Linked DNA regions of Mus musculus: region 2 is reported to be linked to region 1. Evidence: microRNA targets listed by miRTarBase, many of them from high-throughput screens and not tested one by one. Region 1 holds a microRNA gene; the other region holds the end of a gene's coding sequence.

Region 1 (7,124 bases):
ATTTCGTAGGCTCAGCTCTGGATTAGGGCTGGAAAGAGATAGGTTAGATAGGAGAGAAAGTTAGAAAACTTCCTGTTCATGTATTAGACACAGTTTTGGTACCTAGCATCTATACTAGGTAGTTTGCTACTGCCTACAACTTAAGATTTAAGAGATTCAACATTTCTTCTAGCTTCTGAAGCCACCATCATGCCCGTGATACATATAAATATATGCAGGAACATAAATATTCATAAAATAAAAGTAAATAAAGGAATTTTTCAAAAAGGGATAGAAACTATCTGACTATTAAGCAAGCAAGGATGTATTTATTCTTTGTTCTTGACTGTGGATGTGATATGACAAAGTCCTTGAGTTCTTGCCTTGAATTCTCCAGAAAGGTTAACTAGAACCTAGAATCATGAGCTGAGATAAATCCTTTCCCTGCTAAATTTCTTTTTTGTCAGGATACTTTATCACTATAACATAAATTAAATTAAAAACACATTCTAATCTTATTTCCTGAGACTCAGAGAGTAACTAATTACTGTTCTTCACTACACATTCTTCTCATAGCATTCCCTACTTCCAAGACTTCAAACTCATTATTATGTTATTATTTTCCATATTAATATATCTTAAGATGTTTCATATTCATATAACACTAGAATTAAAATTATGAAAGCAACAACAAATCTATCATGGGGATGTCTGTTTTAAAGTGACTGCAATGTATCTTGAAATCAAGAAACTCATCCACTGTGTGAAGACTATGTCCATGTGGCTACCACCCTTGTATTTGTTGAACCTTACAATACTGAGAGATGTTGCAGTTACTCATAGTACAAAGTGACTGCTACCCATTCTCAGTAATGCATTGCACACAGAATATTGAGTGAGGAAATTAAGTCTGAAAGAATTAAAAGATATTACAATTTTTTGGACTATCAAGTATACATATATAATAAATTTCTTTCTTCACAATTAAGATAAGAGCAATTATAATCTTCTTTACCTCCATTTAGCTTTCTGAAGCAAGTGATTTATAAACCATTCACATGACTTTTTATTACATTACATTGATATAATATAGTTTATACTTTATATTCTCATGATATGAATAACTGAAAACACAAAGACTACCTAGGTCATTAGATACAAAAGGTTTACATATGGAAAAAACGATTTCAACATTACCTACAGAAATGAAATCATCACTATCCCAAAGACAGATCAAGTGAGGAATATAGTCTTCTTGACTTGAAGGAGATAGGTATTTGTTATAGTCACTTAAAATCTTACAAGCACAATGTATTACAATACCTGTAAGTTACAAAGATATTCCGAAGACCCTAAGATTCAACCACTCCATATTTTTTCCTCTAAGCATTTCCTTTAACACTTGTTCCACTGAATTTTTGTCAAAACCAGAGAGATGAGATTGATTTCATTTTGGTTTTTTACATTATATGTGCTTAGCTTATACTCACTGATTAGTGCAACTCACAGTTCTGATGAAAAGTTGTTTTCTCTTTGTCTCTGTCTCTCTCGATAGGGTTTCTCTGTGTAGCATGGGCTATACTGGAACTCACTCTGTAGGCCAGGCTAGCCTCAAACTCAGAAATATGCCTGCCTCTGCCCACCCCCCAACCAGCCCCCAAATGCTGGGATTAAAGGCATGCACTGCCCAGCAAAAGTTTTTTGTTTTTGTTTTTTAAATAAGACAAAAGGCTATTTTATAAAGAATCACAACTTGTCAAAGTGTAAACTACTGTCTTTTGTACATGATAAGGCTGTTTCACCAACACACTTTCAACAGTTAATGGTTGCTCGTACAAGATTTGCAAAAGACTGATTGAGGAAGGGTCCATAATTCCCATATCTAGTTCAGGCTGCTAAGGGAGAGCTAGTATTTTTTTAAGGATAAGTCCCCTGATCAGTTAGGTGCCCATTCCCAAGTGGTAAGTATGGTCTAAATTATGTACGTGTGCATGAAGGTAATCCCTGCCTCGGGTTTCAGGGATCACATGAAGACAGACATTTGGTGTTTTTTACTCGTTAGAACCATACTGAGGTTAGAGGCATGAGAAACTAAATGCCAGGTAGCTTACACTGTACCACTGGCATATTCTACCATTCTTGTCTCTTGAAGTAATAGGCCACATGAAACTTTATGCCTAGCAACTGGCGTCTAGGTGCAGATTCTTGTTCCTGAGATCATAGGCTGTTCCCAGAGGAAACATGAACTCATTGAAGAATCATTCATCAAGTATCTTCACGACTGAATTTCATATAGTCGCTGAGGCAAGATGAGCTAAACTGAGAAAACACTAAATATAATCCAACTGCCCAGTTAAATATAAATCCAAGAATTATATTTTTACCTTCAAGATGCTACAATAAGTTCATGAGGAATATGGTGAGCATTTTTTTCATCTAGAGAAGAAGTACTTACATCTATTTCTCATGAAGGAATCCAACATAGATGGAATGCCATTGATGTGAAACTTCATGTTAAATTGCAGAAACTTCATTATTAAAATCGTTGCCTTCAGATATCCCATCATTATTTGTAAAACAAGATATTTATACCTTGATTTGATTTAATTGTAAGTTCTAGAGAATAATAAACTCATATCCCTACACCATTCATCTTTCTGAAAGCAGGTTTTTTTACCTGTACAATCTTCAGATGAATGCTTGTCAATACCAAGAACAAAAGCTTGATCATGTTTTCCTTTCTGGAATTATAACCATGGTCATGTCTTTTGCCTTGTTTAATTGTCCTTGTGCCAATTTAGTTTTTCTTAGCTTGACTTTATTAACAGGTCAGATCCAAGAGACCAACAAACCAATAGACAACTGGTTTCCTCCCAAAGTTCAAAGTAAAACCCTATTCTAGAAGGCACCTCACATTTCAGAAACAGGATTTGGAAGAATAAAGATGATATTGGCCTAGACTTTTTCTCTGAGGACTGGCTTTCATGATATCAGAAGTTTCAATGCAAGCTGCCAAGGTAAAGGAACAATTGGAAGTCTTACTCAGGTTTAGAGCCTGCTACAGAAGAACAAACTAGTCACATCTGTCAGAAGAAAGTGAAAAATCAACAAAATCTACCCCAGATATTTTATGACCTCACAATCTTTATAATCTTGAACTCTATAATCATATGTACTGATAGCTCCTATGAAATAAAACTCAATTGCCCTTTCTATTGTATTTCCTACATATTTATAGTAACCTCCTATTTACTAGGATGACTGCCAAAAACAAAACCAATAACATCATATTAATGTTATTTGTTGACATTAAAGTGAAATGTGTCTTCTAGATTTTTATGTTTGTAAATCCATATGTTGTTCCTCAAGGGGATATTGGAGAAATGAAATTATCCTCAGGAAACAAAACCTAGATGAAGAAAACTAGAACCAGAAAACCATTGTAAAGGTATACACTCAAACCATGTTGATGGTATAAAGCAACAACAATTGAGGAACATGGTAAGCCTTCCTATACATAGTATGGCACCTTTCACTTTTTGTTTAATGTGAAAAGCACTATACTACGTAAAGCACTGCTCACAATATTCTTCATATAAACGTATTGCAAATGAGGCCTCTATCATTTACTCTACCACTCATAATATGTTACCTGAATCATTGTCTAATTTATTCTTCAATCTTAGAATATAATATTTATTGTAAAATAGTACACATTCTTATAAGATCATGTCCTTCCTATCTTACCTTCTGTTTATGAGAATTGTTCTCATTTCTAAGATATTAAGCTGATTCCTAATTTTTCTTCCTTATTTTAGTACACTCCTTTAGGTTCTTGATACTTTTTGCCTGTAACCCACAAATTAAAAATAAAGATTATGTCATGAACACATCTTAAATATGTCTGCTATGACAGTGACTACAGAGCATTCTATCATAAAGTAACATACTGTTGGTTTGTGTACATGTACACCACAAAGTCTACATGGTACGCCTGCAAAATTGTATTTGGAGCATGCTAGACATGGAAGAGTGACTTCTGAATAATGCAGAATATAGGACTTGTAGAATGAAGTGTTGCACTTACGATGTGACCATTATAAAATTAAGGCCTACCTGGGAATACACTTTCTGGAGGCACTTATTTCCAACATGTCTCAGAAAGGCATGTGAAGGATAACTGCTGTTACATATTCTAACCAATATGAAGAACATTATGAACTTTACTTTAACCACCATGGTGGTTTTCATAGTCATTCACTTGATAAACACCAAGGTGAATAAAATACAGCCCATAAGAAACTTAACTTCATCTTGAGCTTTCAACATATATGTTCAAGTATAGGGGACTTGCAACATGACCTAACATATTCACAAGTCTTAGTGAATATAGTAGACAATACCTTTTACCATACATGTTCAAAGGGATCCCTCTCACATTCATTTTGTGTCAACAAACCGCTTTGAGTAAGCTTGTTGCCATTTTCTTTTTCAGATTATGGAGTCACTGAAAGTTCTTTCTGTTTTTATTCTTTAAGTTTTTATTTAAAAATTTGTTTTCAAAGAATATACTTTAAGCATGTTAGTCATTTCCAACTCATTCCACAACTTTTTATGTAAAGAAAGCATTTCTCAGATAATTTCCATAATCCCCAAAGACATGTATGAAGACATGTATGAATTCTCCCATAGTAACATGATATAATACTAGTAAATTTCTTTAATATTCTCAGGAAAGGAAATTATACTACCTTTTCCCTTTTCCCTTCTTCTACATGGTTTTATTTAGATCCCATGTAGGAGGAGCTCATTCTTTTGTGCTTCTTCATCTATGTACATTTGCAAGGTAAATTGACAATACAAAATATATCAAGTAACCCTAACTCACCTACTAATATAAAAGTGACCTCAATGTTACTTGAAGTGAAAAGTCACTGCTATTTAAGACTATAAATCAAGTGAGAAACATGATGAATTTTAATAACCCAGAGAGAACCTAGTCAAATGTAGTCCCAGTATTCAGCATGAGACTAACTCCAAAATGTTATTTAACCAATTTTAGCAATAACTTAGCAAAAGCTTCATTATCCCTCTCAAATTTTATCAAATTGCCAATTTACGACAATACCTAAACTATTAAGAGTTATGAAGATCATGCTATCCAAACTGTTTAATTTCTCTTTGCATTTCTCAAAAATGAGAGCTGACGCTTTTCTTAAAGGGAATAAGGATTGCCAAAGAAGAGAATAAGATTTGTACCATATTTTCTTGTATGAACAAGTTCTCTCATGTCCTCTATTTCTTTTTATTCCTCTAATGGAAAAGTATTCATGCTAGGGTAATACTGAGTGATAGAGCATCTCTCATAAAGTATCTGACTAAGCACTCTTAGGACCAAAGCACCTGAGTTTAGGGGTAATGTACCTACAATGACATCACCAAAAAGTTGTATCTACAAACTGCAGTGGGGGAGGCTTACATTAACTCAGAGACACAGAAACAAGGAGAAAAAATAAACTTGTACATTTAAATTTTTATTTTCAGTATCTTAAATGTATACATTTTTCATTACTTAGCAATTTCTGTGACATCTATCACATCATCTATCATCTATCACAGCACAATACCTGAAAATCCATGTATTTTTTATAACTCTGAAGTGATGCCAAATTCTTAACCTCTGAGTCATCTCTCCACCCCAGTGGCAGCCTAGAGAATAAGAAAAGATTTTTACAAACTGCATTATCTGACAGAAGACTAATATGCAAGATATATAAGGAATTTAAAATTACATATAAAAATCCAATTAAAAATAGGGTATAGGTCTAAACAGAAAATTCACAATAACAGAAACTCAAATGAATGAGAAACACCAAAATAAATAAATGTGCAAAATCTTTAGCCATCAGGAAAATTCAAATAAAAACTACTTTGATATTCCATTTTACACCTGTCAAAATGGCTAAATATCAACATGTGACAACGTGATAGAGAAGATGTGGGGCAAAGGAAACACTCCTCCATTGCTAATGGGACTGCAAACTTGTACATCAAAAATAGAAAATATGGTGGTTCCTCAGAAAGTTGGGAACTGATATATCTTAAGATCCAGCTATACTTCTTTTGGGCATATACCTAAAGGATCTTCATCCTACCACAAGGACAAATGCTTAACCCTGCTCATTGCCGATCTATTCATAATAGCCAAAAATTGAAAACAATCCAATTTTTTAAGTGTCCCTCAAACTGAATAAAAAGCCTGTGGTACATTTAAACAATGACGTATTACCTGTTAAGAATGACATCATGAGACTTGCTGGGAAATAGATGGAGCTAGAAAAATAATCATCCTATGAGAGTTTTAAAAAGACCCAGATAGAAACATATGGTAAGCATTTACTTCTACGTGGATATTAGCCAGTGAATAATGATAACCAAACTATAACCTCTTTAGCCAGAGGGGTTACATATAGCAGAGGGAATAGTTTGTAACAATTAATGAAAAAGGACACTGTAAATTTGGAAAGAGCAAGAAGGAATATGGAAAGTTTGTAGGGAAGAACAGGATATAATTATATAATAATCTCACAAAGTAAAAAAAAAAAAAATAAAACCAACAACTTTTTCTATTCTATCACTTTTATCTAGGTAGGATGCTATTGGAGGCACTGTCTGTTATTTAGGGTGGCTCTTCTCATTTGAAATAATCTGACCCTGTTGCCTGTGGCTCATCTATTAGCTGATTCCAAAAAATCAGTCAAGCTGAGAGCAATAGTTAGTCATTATACCATTACTACCTAGAGGTGATCAAACTCATTTGGTTTCTTGAGCCATAACCCCTAGACAAATAAATAAATGTATGCAGTATGTATGTATGTATGTATGTATGTATGTATGTATGTATGTATGTATGCATGCATGTAAAACTAATCTGCAAACACTTAAGCAATGCTGAGTGGAAAAAGTAGCTTTTCACAGGGATAAGCCAGCAAATTAGTTATTTAATACCAAGTAGTCTACCATATTATATACATACTCACATATTTATGTGCACACGTGTACACACACACACACACACACACACACACACAGAGAGAGAGAGAGAGAGAGAGAGAGAGAGAGAGAGAGAGAGAGAGAAAGGGGGC
Region 2 (7,124 bases), not on the chromosome of region 1:
ACATGTCTCCCATTCTCTAGGAACACAATATTTGGAGCACTCATTCTTTGTATCGGCAGCAGAAGGGGAACAAAATAGGCTGGCAAGGTGGCTCATATGAAAAGACCTTCCCACACATGCAGGCGTGCCTGACTTTGCATCCCCAACACACACATAAAATGCCAAGTATCTACACCAGTAATCCCAGGCTGAGTAGCTGGAGTTAGACAAAATCCTGAAGCTCATTGGCTGGCCAGTTAGCCTAGCCAAATAAATGAGTTCCAGGTTCAGTGAAAGACTCAGTCTCAAAACTAAGTTGGAGAGGCTGTACAGACGGCGCATCTGAGGGCACTTGATGCTCTTCCAGCACCCATGCTTACAATTATCTGTACCTCCATTTCCAAGGGACCTGACAACATTTCTAGCCTACAAGGGCACATGTAGCACATGGCACAATACAAGTGGAGGCACTCATGAACACACATTTAAAAAATAATAAGATAAATATAAACCTTTTAAAAATGAGAGAGAAACTGAGAAAGACTCCTGTTATTATCATTTGATCTCAACAGAAACATACTTGTGCATCCACACATGTACCTACATACATATGTAAATAACATACACATACAGACATGGTTAGGATTGGTTATATATCAAAGAAGCACAAAAAAAACCCCCAGCAAGTTAATAAATCAAACTGTTTATTTCTCTTCTGGGTCATGATATCTCAGGAATGCAGTGACCAAGTGGCTTCCAGACTTCCTTGAGACCCAAGCTGCTTCCTTCTACATGGCTGCTGTAATCTCACTGGGCCATTCCAGCTTCGCTATCACCTCTTCATCCCACACAAAGAGGAAGTAACACCAATGAGGGGAAAGGCACATGCCAGTCATCTTTAGGGAAGATGGTTTTAAAATGTCACTGTATCTTCGTTGTATCTCATTACAGGAATGTAGCCTGCAACGGAGCCCAAGAAATATGAGCTTTATCCCAAGTCCCCTTATGCCCGCTAGACATGTAGAGTGCTACATCAGAGTACAGTCAATTATGTGGGATGTCTAGTGCTCTTTGACATACATTGAGGAAGATATCTTTGGTATATATTAGGACATAACTAGCTGTGTCACTCCAGCATTTCTACCCTGATTGACTCAGGACCTCAGTTTCTCCATATTCTGCCCTCCACTCCAACCATAGTACCCCATATATTACACATATTATGCATTTGGCCCTTTGTACCATCTTACCTATATGAGGCCATTTGTTCTAGATGTCCTCCCTCTCCCCCTCTCTATATCCAAATTCTACCCACACTTGGCTCCAAGCTCCCTCTATTTGGACCATCCTGTTGGGGAAATCTCCAGAAAGGAACCAGATCCCAATGGGTGTCCTGATTGGTCTTGCTCCACTGATGTCTAGAGAGGTTGGTGGGCTGATCACTGGCTATGTGACACCTGTCCCTAAGTGACTGTGGACCAGGCCACCTTGACTTGAAGTCCTCCAAGACTACACACAACTGAGGAAGGTCAACTCCCCAAGGGCTATCAGAGTGATGTTATCAGAGATAGGCTGTACTGACTGAATGCAGCAAATGCCCGTGGCCAGACTTAATAAACATGTGTTGATTGACAGTGGCCCCTTTCCTTTGATTCCAAGGACGTTTTTGCACATAATACAGACCAGAGAACCCCTGGGATTCTTTCTACCTACAGCTGTTAACCATGCAGGAGGCAAATCTTCTCTGTTACTGTTGAATTTTGCAACCTCAATTGATTAGACTTGGACTGACAGCTTTCTCCGTATAAATTGCCATTTCTAATCAGGCAGGAACTTTACCTCTTTCTCCTGACATCTGGTTTGTTTTTGTTTGTTTGTCTGTTTACCTATCTCAGAACAAAGCACATTCCTGGTCCTTACAAATACTGGTGAATGAATCACTTAATTTTGTGAAAGGACCAAATAAATAAAGGAAGAGGCAATAAGTGTTTTAGATAAGTTGCTAATCTGTACAACTATCCAGATAGGCCCTTCTCACCTTAAGCATTTGTGTGGCACCAAGAGACCAGTTGATGCATCACATGCTATTCTGAAAGATATTGTCACCCCCACAATCTTTCAGAATTCTGCCCTGAAGGGACAAGAGAGAGGTCCATCAGGCAGTAGCTTCAGGGACTGCAGCTGCTGGGAGAGGACAGAGGTCACTTCCACCCTGACCCAGTATATCTGTCCTTCTCCGAGACAGCCCGTCCTTAGAGAAGGATGGAGAGCAGCAAGTTGAGCCTTCACAGTGCACAGAAGAACTGTTCGCAGAGATGATGCTCCGCCGTGGCTGACTCATCTGTGCCCGCAGAACTGAATACTGGGAGCTCTCTAATATCTACAACGTGACAGAGCCCACAAACCTTGTTTTTGCTTATTGATTTTGTTTGTCACGTGCAGACAACTGTCAATGGCCATGCTTAACTGATGAAGAGATGAAATCTGAGAGCCCAGCTTGGATTCAAGACAAGGGTGTCTCTGTGCAACACAAACTTTTCTGTGTGTGTGTGTGTGTGTGAGAGAGAGAGAGAGAGAGAGAGAGAGAGGGAGGGAGAGAGAGAGAGAGAGAGAGAGGGAGGGAGAGAGAGAGAGAGAGAGAGAGAGAGAGAGAGAGAGAGAGAATTCAAGAATAAAAACCTCAAGACCTTCTCTTGAATGCTAACAATGATTCTTCCTCTCCTGTCATTGAAATAATAACTATAAGTAAGAGTTAGGGAAAGAATGTGTCAATTTGGTTTTGATTCAACTGTGACTCTTGGTAGGACTATTTTATTGAAGTTAAACTTTGGTATTTCATCTTACTGTGTATTTTGAGAGAGAGTCAGAGAGACAGACAGACAAAGAGACACTGAGATGCAGAGACAGAGAGATTTTACATGCCCTTCAGTTGGACTTTATTTTGTTTTTGATTTTGGAGCTGAAAGGCTAATTCTACTTCCTTCCCACTTTGCTAGGCATTAAATCAATTCATTTCTCCTAGGCAGCCTGTTGCTTCTCCACTCTGATCCTAGTTTCACTTCTCCCACTTCCCATGTAGATTCCTGGAGATGTCAGGAGAAATGTCCTATGCTCTGAGAACTCCTTCTATGTGCTTTGTCAGGGGGTTTGTTGACATGTTTTCAAAAGTGGAATTATTTTCTATATGTCTTCTGCACAACAGGAGCCACACCCTACATGTCTGCCTTGGATTAAGTGATGCTTTCATTGAGATTTAAAAAATACCCATCTGGTGAGAGCTATAGAAGACTGCCTTCGGCTCAGACAGGCCAGCATCCTCTCCATTTCTTCAAAGATAGCCTGAGACTTCCATAGGTCATTCATCATTGATCAGGTCCTGAGGCCAGTCAACCCACTCCTTAGCTTGTTGCCGTTGACAGGCACAGTGCTTTGTAGGCCATACTCACTGTCCCCTTCACCCAGACGATGGTGACAAGTATCATCTCTGTCACTCTATAAGGAATCAGATCAGCAGGGTGAAGTACCTTGTTCAAGGGCCAAACAGCACTTAACAAGGTGGAATTTGGATATGACCAGGTCTGTCTGCTCAGAGTTGGAAGGAGAGAACATGGGTCAGAGATAGCCAGTCCCCAGGGAATGCTTGGGAGCCATGAGCAAAGACTCCTCAGAACACTAGAGCAAGACATCTTTTAGCCCAAACTCTCCTCCATGTTAGTGAAATCTCTAAATGGCTGAGAACTCTGGGAGACTCTTTCAGGGAACCATATTGGTGGGCTGCTGCTCTGCTCTGCCATCCTGGCAGGCATTTGTCTCGAACCCTACACGAGAAATACTGCTTCTTTAGAATGCCCCCGTGATGATCCAAAGCCAATGAGGGAACTCTACGACAAGGGTGGACGGTTTCTAGAACCTCCAAGGGGGAGGCTTTAGGACCTTATCCATCTTAGCAAGAGGTTGCAGAACCCCTTCCCTTTAGGCTTGACTCTAGTTAAAGTTTCACCACAAGCACATCCCAGTGCCTCTGCAAAAGAAACTCAAACCTCCTTGGGAGAAACTTCCATGCCTCCCACCCCAGCCCCCCGCCCACCATATTCCCCCAAATAAACAAAGGCTCATTTGTAAGAGGCTTTTAATTTCATCTCGGTATGTCATTAGAGAGTAGAATTAAGGATCTCTGTTTGCTTTCATTCACATATCTGCTACATTCCTCAACCAATCAGCCACACAGACACTGTCTGTGCCCCCTACACCCGCCTCATTCTCAGCCCACAGACTGGTTCAGGTTTCCTGACGGTTTGTATAAATTATAAAGAAGAGCACAAAAATCACACAACACACACTCTACCACTAAGGGACATGCTTCCTCTGGCCTTAAAGAGAATGAAGTGGATATGTGGGCATAGTCATGGCTCTGATGATGGTCCCGGGCATGACGTCATGCCTGTCACAGCCCCTCTCACTGGAGCCCTTCTTTCTTCCCCCTACACTCATTCTGCTTCCCCAGAAGGATCCTAACACAGAAGATCCCACTCTAGCACCGTAATTGGAGATCAGGGCATGGAACTGTCCCTGTATACAATGGAGTTCAGGGCACGGGATTGTCCCTGTGTACAATGGCTACTGGGTCTTCCTGTGCTCAGGGACTGCAACATGAGTTGGAGGGAAGAGCCCTGGGTACCTGCCTGGTCCCCTCTGCTTCTATGAACTCCATGAGGCTGTTTATGAGCAGGCCCCCAGATTATGGGCCCTCAAGAAAGAGACAAACAGAGATCACAAGTAATTCCGGCTTTTGGGGGTGCATACAGTCACGTTGAAGTGACTTTTTAAAAAGTAAGAACAAAACAAAACAAAACAAAAAAAAAAAAAACAACAGATGTGCAAGTCAACACTTGTTCTAGAATTCCATCCACCACGCCTCTTCCACCTTCTCAGATGGAGCGTAGTCTCCACCCCCTCAGAGCTGTGTCTCTGTCATGTGGCCATATGGGCTATGCAGAGAGATAGGACTTAGGGTACCAGAACTTCCTGCTCTGTGGTCCCAGGTATCCTCTATCATCAGGTACATGACTCGGTTATATTTTAAATCATATCAGATTTATTTTAGTTTCAACTTCGATCATGTCCTGGTATGGAGCCTTATTGTCCCCAGGGAGGTAGGTGTGGCAACCACCTCATCCACACTCATAGAGAGAGAGGTAGGTGTGGCTATCAACTTCATCCACACTCATCGAGGCTGAATCTGGGGTGGGGGTGGGGGTAAGGACAACCTTGCTGATGCTGCCCAACAATCCCATGCCAATAAGCCTAAAATCTCATTCAGGCCCAGTGACTGGACACCAGGGTGAGCATGAGTTCACTATAGCATGCTGCCTGCCATCTGGAGTTGTATTCTAGACCTCAATGATGCTCTGATCACAGAGTGAACTCAAGCACTCAGAGCTGTGGGGCCCGGTGGAACAGTTCTCTCTGCCCTGCCGATGAGTCTCTCCAAACTAAAAATAAAGTTTATAAAAGTAAATTATCTCATTTTATAACTTAAGTGCATCAAGCATTTCCTTAAATATAGTTCACACTGAAAATAAAGTTACTTTTGCTGTACAGTTGGTGTCTGTTATAATTAGGAATAAACTTTGATGATAAAGTATGAAAGGTTTTACACACACTCATACACACACACACACACACACACACACACACACACACACAAATCTGTCTGTCTATTGGTGTGTAGATGAATAGACATACGGCACCTCTTGACAAGCACTTCTCCAGAACGGTGGGAAGCTGTTAGGAGTCCCTAGATATCTAGTTTGCTTGAGAATGTCTATATTAAAAGACCCTGCCCTTAATGATAAACACATCTTCATATCTAACACTAAGACTCTTATTAGAAACATTAAACTATGCAATCCATAATGTATTCAGTCTTTGGAAATGCTGAGCTACACCATATAATTAAACAACAGCATCCCCAACAAACCTCCCTCCCCAGCCCACCTCTTCTCTGGCCTCCCCATCCTAAAGTCAGCAACCCTTCACACAGTATGGTTGTTCCATATGGGAGCCCAGGTCACAAAATTGTAGGAGAAGACTCAAGAGGTGAAATAGGAATTCTGCATGGAGTACAGATGGTCAATGGGGTTTCCCACTCTGGACTGCAGGGGCCCAGCTTCTGAGGTTGCCAGGAAGCAGTCTCCCAGGTTACTGAGAGATGTGTCATCACTATCCAAGTCATGGAAAAGAGGTTCAGCACCTGAAATGAAGATGGAACATGGCAATGAGGGTCTGGAAGAAGTAACACCCTTGTATGCTAGGAAATTAGCTGACCTCAACAAGTGTTTGAACACATCCCAGGGATGAGGACCTACTAAGTATGCGCTATGGGGTGGGAACAACTAGACACAACAATGTAAAGGTTACGATGCTAGGGGTCTCATAGAGAGCTCTTGTCCAAAGTTGGGAAACATTAAGCCACATGAGTGAAGGTATGCACAGTGAGGGTATCTACACAGTAAACACGGGGTAGGCAGAACTCATCTCCAAAGGCTGGAGGGACATAGACAGGGATTCTGAATGTCCTCAGCCTCACAAAGGGCTCCTCAAGGACAGATGGTAAGAAATGAACATGGATTCTTCAAGTGAAGTTCTGATCTTGCTGGTAACATTGGTCATTTCCAGTAGCAGAGATGTACCAATGTTTCTCTGTCTCCCCAGATTTCTGCCTCACAACAAAGGAAGTTAGGTACCTGGCCTCAACTGCACCCTGGAGAGAAGGACCAGGGGGTCACACTATAACACAGCTGAGGTACCAATCAAAAACTTGCAACCTGGGCGGCATGGCAGGGTATACCTGCACTTCAGTTCAACTGGAGAGGCAGAAGCAAGTACCTAAAACTTATCATTGAGCTTCAATTGTTCATTTTGCTAAAGTCATTGACATAAGGATTTGCAAAATGAACAACAAAATCACATCTTCCCTGGTCTCCCATGTGACAGAGAATATGTTTTGAGTGTTATATGTGTCTTCTAAAGAGGAAATGGATGGGCATCACTGGGAGACACACATAAAAACCTAGAGTGTACGTGTTCTTGAGGTTGGGAAGTGAGGGTCCACAAACACCATGGTTAAGTGTTTGCTGAAGCTG

What was found. Region 1 holds the annotated microRNA mmu-miR-471-3p (UGAAAGGUGCCAUACUAUGUAU, at 3,493-3,514, opposite strand). A microRNA usually pairs through its seed, bases 2 to 8, with sites in the 3' UTR of a target mRNA and lowers its output. Matches are read on the target gene's strand: a 7mer-m8 pairs with bases 2 to 8, a 7mer-A1 pairs with bases 2 to 7 and ends in A, and an 8mer does both.
Region 2: miRTarBase lists Lmx1a as a target of mmu-miR-471-3p. Seed matches in the 3' UTR shown: 8mer at 5,624-5,631.

What each region holds. Positions count from the first base shown.
Region 1 is chrX:66,789,107-66,796,230 of GRCm38, forward strand. It overlaps Mir471 (microRNA 471), which reads right to left and starts at 3,555; the gene lies at 3,489-3,555. It overlaps Mir883b (microRNA 883b), which reads right to left and starts at 861; the gene lies at 784-861.
Region 2 is chr1:167,845,709-167,852,832 of GRCm38, reverse strand. Lmx1a (LIM homeobox transcription factor 1 alpha) reads right to left here. Exons shown (of 8, transcript NM_033652.5): 8 at 4,100-6,232. The coding sequence ends at 6,072. Among named protein-coding and RNA genes, the nearest start is that of Lmx1a, 160 kb to the right of the region's middle.